3 linked regions of the Oryzias latipes genome follow. The protein of the gene in region 1 purifies or fractionates together with the protein of each later gene. This does not show direct contact. Links are inferred from orthologs where the notes say so. Each region holds a gene or a part of one and is shown on either strand. Other genes may lie near its edges.

What was found.
Region 2: the proteins of WD repeat-containing protein 20 (region 1) and usp12 purify together in Homo sapiens (affinity purification with mass spectrometry; 3 studies listed by BioGRID and IntAct, with this or other methods). This does not show direct contact. The link is inferred for Oryzias latipes from reciprocal best matches to the Homo sapiens genes DMWD and USP12.
Region 3: the proteins of WD repeat-containing protein 20 (region 1) and usp46 purify together in Homo sapiens (affinity purification with mass spectrometry; 5 studies listed by BioGRID and IntAct, counting the BioPlex papers as one, with this or other methods). This does not show direct contact. The link is inferred for Oryzias latipes from reciprocal best matches to the Homo sapiens genes DMWD and USP46.

What each region holds. Positions count from the first base shown.
Region 1 is NC_019871.2:4,868,096-4,872,478, forward strand, and holds the start of WD repeat-containing protein 20, read left to right. Parts: upstream 1-1,443; 5' UTR 1,444-1,777; coding exon 1,778-2,191; intron 2,192-4,383. UniProt on the Homo sapiens protein: Regulator of the deubiquitinating USP12/DMWD/WDR48 complex. Functions as a cofactor that promotes USP12 enzymatic activity.
Region 2 is NC_019878.2:17,502,382-17,506,695, forward strand, and holds the start of usp12 (ubiquitin carboxyl-terminal hydrolase 12), read left to right. Parts: upstream 1-1,384; 5' UTR 1,385-1,472; coding exon 1,473-1,520; intron 1,521-3,819; coding exon 3,820-3,900; intron 3,901-4,081; coding exon 4,082-4,295; intron 4,296-4,314. UniProt on the Homo sapiens protein: Deubiquitinating enzyme that plays various roles in the regulation of the immune response and inflammation.
Region 3 is NC_019862.2:1,003,217-1,006,866, reverse strand, and holds part of usp46 (ubiquitin carboxyl-terminal hydrolase 46), read right to left. Parts: intron 586-3,650; coding exon 347-585; intron 1-346. UniProt on the Homo sapiens protein: Deubiquitinating enzyme that plays a role in behavior, possibly by regulating GABA action. May act by mediating the deubiquitination of GAD1/GAD67.

The sequences.
Region 1 (4,383 bases):
ACACCTGCAAGATGTTAAAGCATTACCAATGGTTTTCTTGGTGACTGTGGTTCCACCTACTTTGAGATCATCAACTGACTCCTCCTGTGTTGACGATCTGACGATCATGGAAACTCAAACAGCTGAGGTCTTATTTGGAGCCCCAGACCCACAGGTGGATTGATGCTCATGATCTTGTATTTTGGCCAAGCTTTACTAACCGTCATCTCCTTCACCTCCAGTTTTTTGCCGATGGTTTAGTAGTCCATCCTGGTCTTTTGCAGGTCTATAATCTTCTCCCATAAAAGATTCACGTCAATCATCTTGTGATCTGTAGTAAAAGCAATTTCCTTGGTCTTTTAATTATGATTGGGCTGTTTTAGGCAACATTTAAATTTAAGAAATCTGTGTTGTTTTGGAGGACATAGTTTCCGGTGAGCAGCAGGAGATCATTAGAAATTCGTGGGCGGGACCGTTTACATGAGTGAGCCCGCGCTTATTTCCCATCATTCCTTTGTTTACGCTCTCTCCTGCTAGTATTGAGCTCTATCTATCTATCTATCTATCTATCTATCTATCTATCTATCTATCTATCTATCTATCTATCTATCTATCTATCTATCTATCTATACATACATACATACATACATACATACATACATACATACATACATACATACATACATACATACATACATACATACATACATACATACATACATACATATCCTCCATCATGAGGAAAGCATGTTAAAAACCCAATTTTCATTGAAGTGGGTCATTAAACACGTTGAACGCTCTAGTTTTTCCCATGTTGGAGAGTTTGGAGTCTGGCTGATTGTGTGGAGAGGTGATGTAACCCTTGTGCTGTCCTGGGCACTTTAACATTGGGAGTGGGGTCATCTAGACCCACTAGACAGTGTGCTAAACCTTTTTTCTTCGATGATTTGTGATCTTCACTGGTGTCCATGGATTACATGAAATCCTCTCCACCTTTGTCATGCTAGGGATCACATGCCAATGTAAGGATCGGGTCATCTGGACCCCATAGGATAGCAGATTAGTTCAAACCGGTGTCTTCAAATTAGGTTGATCTGGAAAGTCTAATTGGTTTGTGTGTGACTTTCTGAATGGTTACTATAGCAGTTTACATACTTACTACCTACAATTAATCAAAACAAATGTGTTTAGATTATTTAAAGGTAATTTCTTGATTTCCTATCGTTTCAAATGAATCAATATTAGGATGACAGACTGTCCATTTCTTTTTAGGAGGGCAAACCTAAAAAAAACAGCATTTGATAAACAAAAATGCATTTCTTCCAGTGTGGACATTTCATCCTAAAGGATTCCATCTAGGAAGTGTTTTTTTTTGTTTGTTTTTTGTTTTTTTAATCTGGAATGTGTCTTTAAGGCTCTCTGCTCCTGCTGGGTGTCGCTGTTTTTTAAGGGGTAAATCGACCTGACCAAGGCCGGATGTCCTCTCTGTACCCCCCTCCCCGGACCACCGTGGGGGTGTGCAGTGTCGGCCCACCAGGAGACGCAGCATCACGCCTCCGTACCGCCGGATGATCGGAGGCAGAGCCCCGGCGGAGGAAGGCAGATGTTGTCCGCGGCTCCGAGAGGCTGCCTCTGCGGGTTCCTCCTCCAGGCGGCGACCGTAAGATGCGCCGGGGCGGGCCGGGGGTCCTGGTCGGCCTAGCAGAGCTCGGCGGCGGCTGTTGTTCCGTACTTTGAATCGCTATTATTTCCAGGTCACGACGATCGCTGTTTCCTTCGCGGCTCGTTTGCTCTGAAAATGGCCGGAGATGGCGGCGCTCTGAAGGATATCAATGAGATTAAATCGCAGTTCCGGACCAGGGAGGGCTTCTACAAGCTGCTCACCCTCTCCGATTCGCAGCAGCGGGGCGGGCTGCCGCGGGGGCCGTCCGCCGGAGCCACGCTGGGCCCCGGAGCGGGCACCGCTCAGATCCCCGGCGGAGGGGTCGCCGTTTTGCAGGGGCCCGGGGCTGCAGCCGTCGCCGCAGCGGCGGCGGTCGCGGCGTCCGCCTCCTCCAATGCCGCCTCCAACAACTCCCCGACCGGCTTCCTGCCGCCGGTCCGGGTCTCTATGGTGAAGCTGCAGCCCGAAGACCCGGGCGAGGAGTCGGAGCGGGTGTGCTTCAACATCGGCAGGGAGTTGTATTTCTACACCTACACCAACATCAAGAAGGTAAGCTGCCGCCGCGGACACCGGGCTTAGCATAGCCTGCTATCCCGCTAACGCGGCACCTCCGCCGGCCTCAGCTCCGTCATGCTTGCCGCCCCGCTGGAGGTGCTGGCGGTGGAGGATAAGGAGGTGATGCTGGAGGAGGTTCATGATGTAGCCGCATGTTAACGCGGCTCTGCCGGCTCCAGGTCTGAACACTGCAAGGTGAATTATTTATCACTTTATTGACGCGCTGAGATAACCTTAGCGGTGCCCTCTGCAGCAAAGACCTTCCTGTGTGTTCAGTGCAGCGGGGGGGAAAGAAATCACATTTTTGGCATTTTTTGTTTTCAGGAAAAGGCCCAAATGTTCTCAGATATTTTCCAGCTAAGGTGTCGTATTTCACTTCCAAATAATCTCAAATAATCCTAAATTTTGGGCCAAAATAAGATTTTGAATTGATTTTTACCTTCATCAGTTTAACCTGAAATAATCCCATCATGTTTTAAGTTTATTGTGAAGGAATTTTACCAGGGGCAGAGCTACCAGAGGGCCAAGGGGGGCTGCTGCCCCCACCCAGCAAAAAGCTTTGCCTAGTGCTGACTGTCATGCAATTAATTTATTGCACAATTATTATTTTGAGTTGCAATTATTCTTAACCTAATAATTGCTCATTTTGAGATACTTTCCTTTAAATTCATGAGGTCAAAGTAAAGGTCAAATTACAACAAAAACTGACTTCATGAAGATTTCCTGATATAACAGACTTACAACTTTTACTTTTACATTTTTTCATTTGTGATTCTCTGCCACAGAATTTGGCCAGCAATTGTTTAAATCTGCTTCAATTGAATTAAGTTCTGTTTTAACCATTGCTGCATTTCATTCATTTTCTTTCGGCTCATGCTGTATTCATAGTTTGCAGCAGATGTTTTGTGCTTTCTTCCTTCTAAATGAACTGTTCTTGTTTTGTCGCTGTGGTTTACTGCAACATTCAACCTGTTAGCTGAAGATCCCCAGAGCAAACCGTTTGCAAAGAGGGTCTGATTTCATGAAAATATGTGAGGGGTCAGCATTTTTTAAATGCAAATAAATTATATAATGTTTTATTGCAATGGCATACTTTTTTATTTATAAAACAGAAATGCACCTAAATACATTTTTACCTAAATTACTGTGAATTTCATAAATGAAGACCAGAAATAAATAAGTTTGTCTGGTAAAAAAAAATCCTTTCGTAAACACAAAATCTTGGTTCCTGTGAAATATTACACATTATTCACCTCTAAATGCTCAAGGTTGACTTTTATATTTAAACCATGTGTACAGAAAACTAACACAAAAAGTTACCTTTTTCCTGAATTACTGTGGTTTTGATCACAGATATAAATACATTTGTTTTTTTTGTTTGGCCCTAAAGGCTCTGAAGGTTAAGTCGCCACAGGATGTTGTCAACGTAATTTATCCAATTGCAATCCAAAAATCATTGACAGTGATGTAGACATAACATTATTGATTTTTATGAGTCTGTGGGCCGGGATTTGGACATGCCTTTTCAGAGTCTAAAGCAGTGTTTTTCAACCAGTGTGCCGCGGCACACTAGTGTGCCGTGGGAGATGGTCAAGTGTGCCGTGGAGAAATTACCCTCATTAATCATTCACTGATCTAAAAACATTTTCCATCTCCAGGAAATCAGCTCTTTGTTCATCCAAACAGGCCCTGATAAAACACTGAGTAGTGAGGAATATAAAAGATCTTAAAATTACTTTTTCTTTGTGTTTATTTGATTCTATTAAAGACATTTTGATAAGAATGACGGTATTTACCTGCAGCTATAGCGGTTTGCGGAAAAGTCCCGCCCCTTTACCTGTCTCCGCCAATCATTGTTGAAGGCTTAATCACATGTCAGCAGTCTGACCAATCAGAAGTGGTTAAAGTCTTCACTTCCTTGTTCTTAATTCTGCTGATAAAGTCTCTAAGTTTCCAACAAAAATACCAGCTAAAGCTCGTCTTTAGCGGTGTAGCTTTCCACAGAGTCCGGTGTCAGACCGTGAACAAAACAATGAAGCTCACAGACGCGAGTCTTTCTGCCCTTTTTCGGCAGTTTTCACACTACATCTCCCATGATGCATTGGCTTAAAGGGCCAGTGTCCGAGCGCACAATGAGTGCGCGTGAAATGTCTAGAAACCTCAACGGACAAACAAACAGTTTTTTC
Region 2 (4,314 bases), on another chromosome or scaffold:
CCTCCTTATGTCCAACCTGTCATGCAGGTCCTTATTTGCCCTTTGTTTAATCTTTGCCCTCTCCACCTTCACCATGTGATGCATCTCACTGTACTGCCGTCTGCTCTCTTTTGTCCTCTAAGCATTTTACTTTTTCTTTGAAAACCTTTTCCTCTTAACACATTCCTGAACTTCTTCCTTCCACCACCAAGTCTCCTTATCTCTTTTCCTCATTCCATACAACACAAATACCTTCCTCTCAATCTCCCAGATCACTTTAGCTGTCACCTGTTACCCAATGTTACACTCCTATCAGACTCTTTTCTCCCCTTGAATATTTTTGATGAACTCCCCCTTCAGGATCACTCCTACTACATTCCTCTTTCCAACCACATTGTGATAAAACAGCTGGAACCTGCTCCTAATTTATTACCCTTTCTCGTTTCCATCTATTCTCTTGAATATGCAGGATATCCACCTTTCTTTTTTCCAACATGTCATTCAACTGTGTAGTTGTCACTGTCAAAATCCCTACATTCAAAGTTCCACACTCCAAGTCCAACACATCTCTTTCTTTTGGTTTTGTTGCCAACTAACATGGCTTCTTCCTTGTACAGAAGTCTAATCTCCACTGGCACCAGTAGCATTGGTGGCGGTCAGTGTTAACCCAGACCAAAAATTATCTGGAGTCAAAGTTTGGTTCATGATTTGTTCGATTTAGTTTACATCGAATGCCACTCTTGACACAACCTTCTGAATTTACCCGCACTTGGGACAGTGACACAAAAGACCTGAATTGTGCCCTCTTGTGGTGACAGTAATTTTCTAATGACTAACAATATTCACTTATTTTTGGCACTTGATTTGGACATATTATACTGATTTCTGTAATAATGGCATGTCTACTTACGTAATTAATATGTATTTCGTCTTTGTCATTTGATTCTTTAATAATTTTTGATTTTTTTCAATGACCTGCACTTCAACAGGGATCAGAAATTAAGAACAGTATGAAGATAATTTAGGTAAAGAAAAAAAAGCTAGGTAAAATATAACTGGAGGGGAATTATATAGGATCACATCTAGGCAATTAATTTAAATAATTTGACAAATTCAATATTGTATAGTTTCAATGTGTCATGTTCTGTACGTACAAGCTAATGGTGGTATTTGTGATTAAGAGTAATTAGATTTACCAATCTAATTTCTTCAACTCGTATAACTGCCATTATAAAATAAATATACGATATTATGTTGTTCACATAATCAATTTAAATATTTTCTGATAAATCTATTAATCATTCACACAGATGGCAGTTTCGGAAAGTACATTGAGTTAATCAAAGAGGGCTGACTGCAGAAGCGAAACCGGAAGTAGTGTGCGGTGAGTGCTCTCGCGTCCAGCTCCGTCCTCCGCGAGCTCAGCAGTATTTCGTCCTCTCTAAGCAGTCTTGTCAGCGCGCGGCGGTGTTGTGGAAGATGGCGCTAGCCGAATGGAAATCCTAATGACAGTTTCCAAATTTGCCTCTTTTTGTACCATGGTAAGTGGACGGCAGTTTTACATAGTGATTATTAGGACTTTTTGCCTATGTAGAAACTGACAGTACTATGTTATTTGAGATTTAAATCTCGGAATTTTAAATGAAAACAGTGAAAATCGGATTCCCGTGCTAGCCGAGGAGGTTTCTGATGCTAACCGAGCAGCCACCCTCCTCCTTCTGAGCCTCTTCGCTTTTGCCGCAAATCCTTGAATGTTTATATTTGTTATTTATTTACTTAAAGTTAATGCTCCATTATTATTATTTTCATATTTACACGCCCTATTTGGTTGTAGTGACTGTGCACCTGCTGTAGGGGTTCAAAGCTAGCTTGCTAATGTGAAGCTAAAGCAATGTTTAGCTTCCCAGCAACTGGATTGAGGAAAACTTCCGATAAAAACACGTCCGGACTGTGTTTTGAGGGAAGCGTTGAACATTGTAGTGATGCTGCAGCGTCAACTACTATCAAATAACAGTTTTAGTGTTGGCAATGACGACACAGATTATTAGCTGCGCAGTTGTTCTTCAGACAGTTTGCTCGACAGTGGTGATACTAGGATTACATCTCTAGAAGTGCTTTTTCCCTCAGAAGTTGACAGCATCCTCCTCGAAAATAACCGTTATACTAACTGAAAGCTTGTTTATTATATATATAATGGTGCCACGTTTTGTTGCAAAAAGTACTAAAAATAAATAGAATTCAGGAATGGAGGCTGTTTATACAAACACCTGTGAAATGATGGGCTGCACTCTGGAGCTCAGTGAATTCCAGGGTGGGATTGTATTAGGATCCCACCTACAACAAGTCAGTGATTTCATACCATAGTTGGAGGGACATCAGCTTAACCACAAAGTGTCCGTCAGTTTATGTGGGCTTCGAGTGAGCAGATCATGAGACACATGACATGGAAATTTCTGCACTTAAGATCTGATTCATTGGTATAAAAGCATAACATCACCAGACCGTAAAGCAGTTGAGATGTGTTCTTTGGAGTAAGAAATTCAGGTTTTCCATGTAGCAATCACATGGATGTGTTTGGGTTTGATGTTGGTCTGACTGCACTGTGCTAAATGTGAAGTTTGTTGAAGGAAGGATTATGTTTGTTTTTCTGAAACTGGGCTTGGATCCTTTGTTGTAGTGAAAGAAACTATGAATACATTTCGATACTGTCAACTGTCTTTGGGGGGATAGGTTTAGGATGTTTTTGTTGCTGTTTCAATATGACTGTGTACCAGTACACAAAGGAAGATCCACAAAGACCCTCGTCTTTGGTGTGGAAGAACTAGTCTGCACAGAGGCCTCTCCTTAACCATCCTTTGGGATGAACCAAAGTGAAGACTCTAAGACGGACTTTTTCATCCAACATCGTTATCAGACCTCACCATTTTACCTACTGAGAAGAATGGAAGTTGTTATCGATGAAAATGATGGACTGACTTATGGATTATGAATAAGTACTTGTGGAAATCCAACATTCATCCCTCCCTCCACCCCTTCCTGCCTTCCTTCCCTCTCTCCCTCACTCTTCCACTCATCTGGGACCATATTATGCAGGAATGTTTTAATAGTCTAAAAAAATGAAAGAAAACAAATCTATTAAGTAAAAACAATTTAGCTTTGATGAAATTGTAATTGTTACTCTGTGGACCGCTACCTACATTTTGTTTTGGATAACATAAAAATTATCTTCTTATTCAGTCTCTCTCTCTATTTATTTATTTTTTAACAAGTTGTTGTGCAGACTGAGTATTTGAGTTTAAAAATAGTTCAGATGCATTTGATTGGTGCACATAGATTTGGAAGCAACTTGGCACCAATTCCTTTAAATAAAAGGATTCCTAATAGTTTTTTCCAAGTTGACATGGGCTTTAGAGGTAACAACCCCCCTAGAAAAAACCTAATCTCAGTTTATCGCTTATTAAATGTTAACAAGTTATGGTGACTAGTTTTTAAGTTTCACTTAAATAGCTTCAAAATAATGTTCAAAATCTATTTACTTTCAATGCTCGGTCTGATACATTCACCCAAACAGGGTCGAAAATCAGTTTTAATTAAATAACTCTTTGTAACAAGATTAGATGCTGGCTCATGAGCTGAAAAACATATATGATGATGGTGATTGTATTCTTGAAATGACAAAAATATTTTTAAAATCTGTCCTTTTGAGCCTCAAAACTTTAACCTTTTGACCAAAATGTGACCTTTAAAATCATGGTTGCATGTAAAAGTGTTACTAATGTGTTTGTGTTATTTTAACAAAGGTAAGGTGACTCTTGGTGCTTGTATGTTGTGGTGTTTTAGGGCGCCAATGCCTCTGCTCTGGAGAAAGAGATTGGATCTGAGCAGTTTCCGGTCAACGAGCACTACTTTGGTCTGGTCAATGTAAGTGACTGATTTGAAGTGCAAAACTTTATTTATTTAAAACTGTTTCACCTAATTTAAATGATACTCTTAAGCAGCTCTCAGCAGCTTTTTTATTAGCACATTTTTTTGTTTTTAATTCATGAGATTTTTGACAGTTATTATTTTTGGGTTATTGTACATTATTTATTTGTGTTTTTAGTTTGGGAACACCTGCTACTGCAACTCGGTGCTGCAGGCCCTTTACTTCTGCCGGCCGTTCCGGGAGAAGATCCTGGCTTACCGCAGTCAGCCTCGACGGAAGGAGAACCTGCTCACTTGCCTCGCTGACCTGTTCCACAGTATTGCCAACCAGAAGAGGAAAGTGGGTGTCATACCACCCAAGAAGTTCATCACACGGCTACGCAAGGAAAATGGTGAGTGGAGAATGATCAA
Region 3 (3,650 bases), on another chromosome or scaffold:
AGAGCCATCCGTCCGTCCAGTTCTGATCCAGATTCCAGCTCAGACCAGGAAGACAAAGACGTTCATGGATCTGTTGGTCTGACAGTGGATGATCAGAATGAAGCAGAGCAGGAAGCTGGCGGGACTCCGATTGTAGTTTCTACGTCACCGCTACAAGCTTTTGTCCAACTGCAGTTTTTGTCTGCTCCTGATTCACAACAATTTAATTAAAGAAATACTTAGACCTACATTTTAACATTAAGAGACTGCTAAGAGAACATGTAAAAACACCAAAAAGACTATTTTCATCTGAGTGGGTCTGTAAGGAAGGCCTGCCTGCCAATCTCAACTGAGGAGAGTTCTCTACCGTTTCACAGTTGAGGCAGCGCGTCTCATTGGTCAGTGTGCCCTGGAAGATGTCGTGAACCCACGTGGGCTCGATCTTGTTCTCCATCTCTGGCTCTGACGTGACGGGGGTGCCGTTGTTCTTCAGACGGCCGTTCTGCTTCTCCTGCTTCTTCTCCTCCTGCAGGATGTCAGCCACCGTGTTCAGCAGGTAATTGAGAAACTCGTGGGCATCCTGCTGCATGTAATTGTCAAAAAGATCTGGACGGAGACAAAAGACAGGAAGACGTGTCATGAGCTGTCCATTTAGAAACATCTGAGAGAAAAAGGACATTCTGATGATGTAGAGACCTTAAAGCAGTCTGTGCAGCACTGTCCACATGGAGCAGAAATGTTTATAACCGCTAGCTCAACCCTACAGGATAATAACCAAAAGCTGATTCTAGTTTCATAATAAAAGATTCTCATCCAGTCCCCCTTATCTCTGCATAAAATGGACCAGCTCTGCTGCCCAAGTTCACGTCTATAGCAACATGTGTTCAACGCAGGTGCATTTTACGCGTAAAGCCTGAAAACGGGCGCAGAAACTTGCATGGCTACACCCAAACGCAAGAGTTATGAACACAGAAGCCCGAAATGCGCATTTACGCACATTAGCACAGTGGTTGCATTGCCAAGGTGTAAACGATGTGAACGTAGCTTTACAGATGCATTAAAGTACTCCATTTAGATTACTTTCAAGAAAACAGCAACTATGAACCTCCTGGATTTGGACTGGTTTCCTGAAGCGCAGGTGAAATGAACACCTGGTGTCTCCATTTCTACCTGCTCACTCTGGCATGAGAAAACAACGGGGGGATGGGAGGAGGGTTAAATGATTAAATGCATTAAATAAAATTAAACACATAACATAATATATACTAAAACTAATAGAAAAAATAAGCATATGAGCTAGACTAAAAGCAAAACTAAAAAGGTGGGTCTTTAGCATCTTTGTAAAAACCTTTACTGCAGGGGCCTTAAAGTCAATTTACCTTGGGGCCACAGAGGGCCGGGTCTAGCTGAGGCTGGGCCGCAACTTCAGCGCTGTCTGAGAGCCAATGCCAGTTTGAATCAGAAATTTAAAAAATTCCAATCTTCTCCGATTTCTTATTCTATTTTATGAACACAAATAAGATGAACAAGGACCCTGGTGGAAACAAGTTGTGTGACTTTCTCAGGTACATCCCTTCTTTGGTAGTAAATTTGTATGGAACATGTGCGATATTATTAACTATACTATACTATACTATTATAAACTGCTTTCTGTACAAAATGTACTTCTAAAACTCTCGATCAAATAAACTCAAACACCTAAATGAAAAAAAACAATCAATAAATAAATCAGTAATACATTTCTGTTTATTCAGTTTTCTATATCTTGTTTTCAAACTTAAATGTCCTAAATTGTGTGAGGACAGCTGTGGCAGTTTCCCCTGACTGAAACTCCACAAAGGAACTCAAACATACAGACACATCGTATACTCAGGGACTAAGCTAATGCTGGTTGGGTGGGTGAACACATTCAACCATTTAAAACATCTTAGAAAGTTCCTGATAGCAACACACACTGATATACACACTGTTAACTCCTTTTATTCCTTTATTATTTTGGGTGTATTATGTTTATGTATTTTTGTATGTCTTGCTGACTTGTGTCTTACCTTTTTCAGTTTCACTTCCTGGGTCAAAGGACCCGATCTCTGGGTTTGGTAGGCTTTTGTAGGGCCTGACCAAAAATCAGCAATTAACCTCAACTGAAACCACCTGGCCCAGGGGAGGGGCCATGTCTTATAAAAGTGTGAATTTTGGTTCATGAGAGAGAGGAGTTTGGGTTTCAGAGCATGTATGGACATTGCTGCTGGTTACCTACTGTAAAATAAAAATAACAGCCATTTTCAGCATTCACAAAAACCTTGTGGAGTGGCTTTTATTGGTCTTGCCTTGGACCTGTCGGTCTCACTCCGGACAGGAGCGTGACAACAGCCATATAGGAATTAATAGCCAACTATGGAAAGAGTTTGACTGGAAAATCAAAAAGGTTTTTTTTCACACACCCCTGTTGATTTCTAATTTTGCCAAAGGCTCATCCACGGCCTTATGTTGGAGGCAATGTGGAAAAATTGGGGATCATACACATATTTTCTTTGATTGCCAAGTTATCTGCGAATTTTGGAAAGATATTAAGAGGGAGGTTGAAAGTATTGTAAAACATGACATTCCTTTAAGTACTCTGTTGTATTTGCTTGGTGTATTTCCAAAAGACTTTGATGCTGATCAAATATATATAATGCAAATTTTACTTCTGGTCGCAAAAAAAAACACAAAGGGAAATTGGAAAAATGTAACATCATTTAAATTTTATTTGGGGTTGTGACTGTTCCTTGTACCTTTGACTGTGGTTGTATGAATATATGTTTAACTGAACTGCTTGTCGCATCTAGCGTTAATGCATTTTTTTTTAAATTTCTTTGTTTTACCTGCTTTACACTATATTGAATGTGGACTTATGGTCAAACTTGTTTCAGGGAATTGTTATGTTTGTTTCATGTTGTGATGAGAAAACAAAAATAAAGAGTTAAAAAAAGTGTAAATGTCCTTATTAACAGTTCAGTTAGCACTGTGAAATTATAACTACTAAACACAAAAGAAAACTTACATTTTACAGTTCTTCAACCTCAATCAATGGGTTCTTCTGAGCACTTGCCTACTTCTTCCTGCTGGACACTTGGCTGCTTCCTCTGCTCCAGCTGAGAGGAAGCAGCTGAGAGCCTCAGTATGGCTTGAAGATGCCTGTCAGAAAGTTCTGGACCTGTACTTGGACTTCTTGAAGTTCAAGGTAGAGAAGAACTTTTCACACAAGTATGTGCTCCTTATTTTAAATCTATGATGAACGTTTTTTTAGGTTTGCTTAAAACAAATCAGTAAGAGAAACAAAATTCAGTAACAATCTGTTGATTTTCTTTCTTATGACTTTTCGCACATTCAAACCCTGGTCACAGGTTATTTAGGAGTAGCCAGTCAGCCACTCCTATATTCATAGTTGAATTCAAACTCTGGTTAGTTAAAGAACGGGCGCCATTCATTGGAGATCAGAACAAGCGTTACAGATACCTGAGATCAAAGAAAGACTCAAAAACTGGTGGAAATTCATGTTGGCAACACATCATACGTGCAGCCAAGATGCACAATAAGTGTGTTTGACATCACCCAGGTGGCCGCAACGCTGCGCTGATCACCTGGTGTCCAAAGTATGTTTTTGTTTTTGCTCCAACGTCACGTCACAA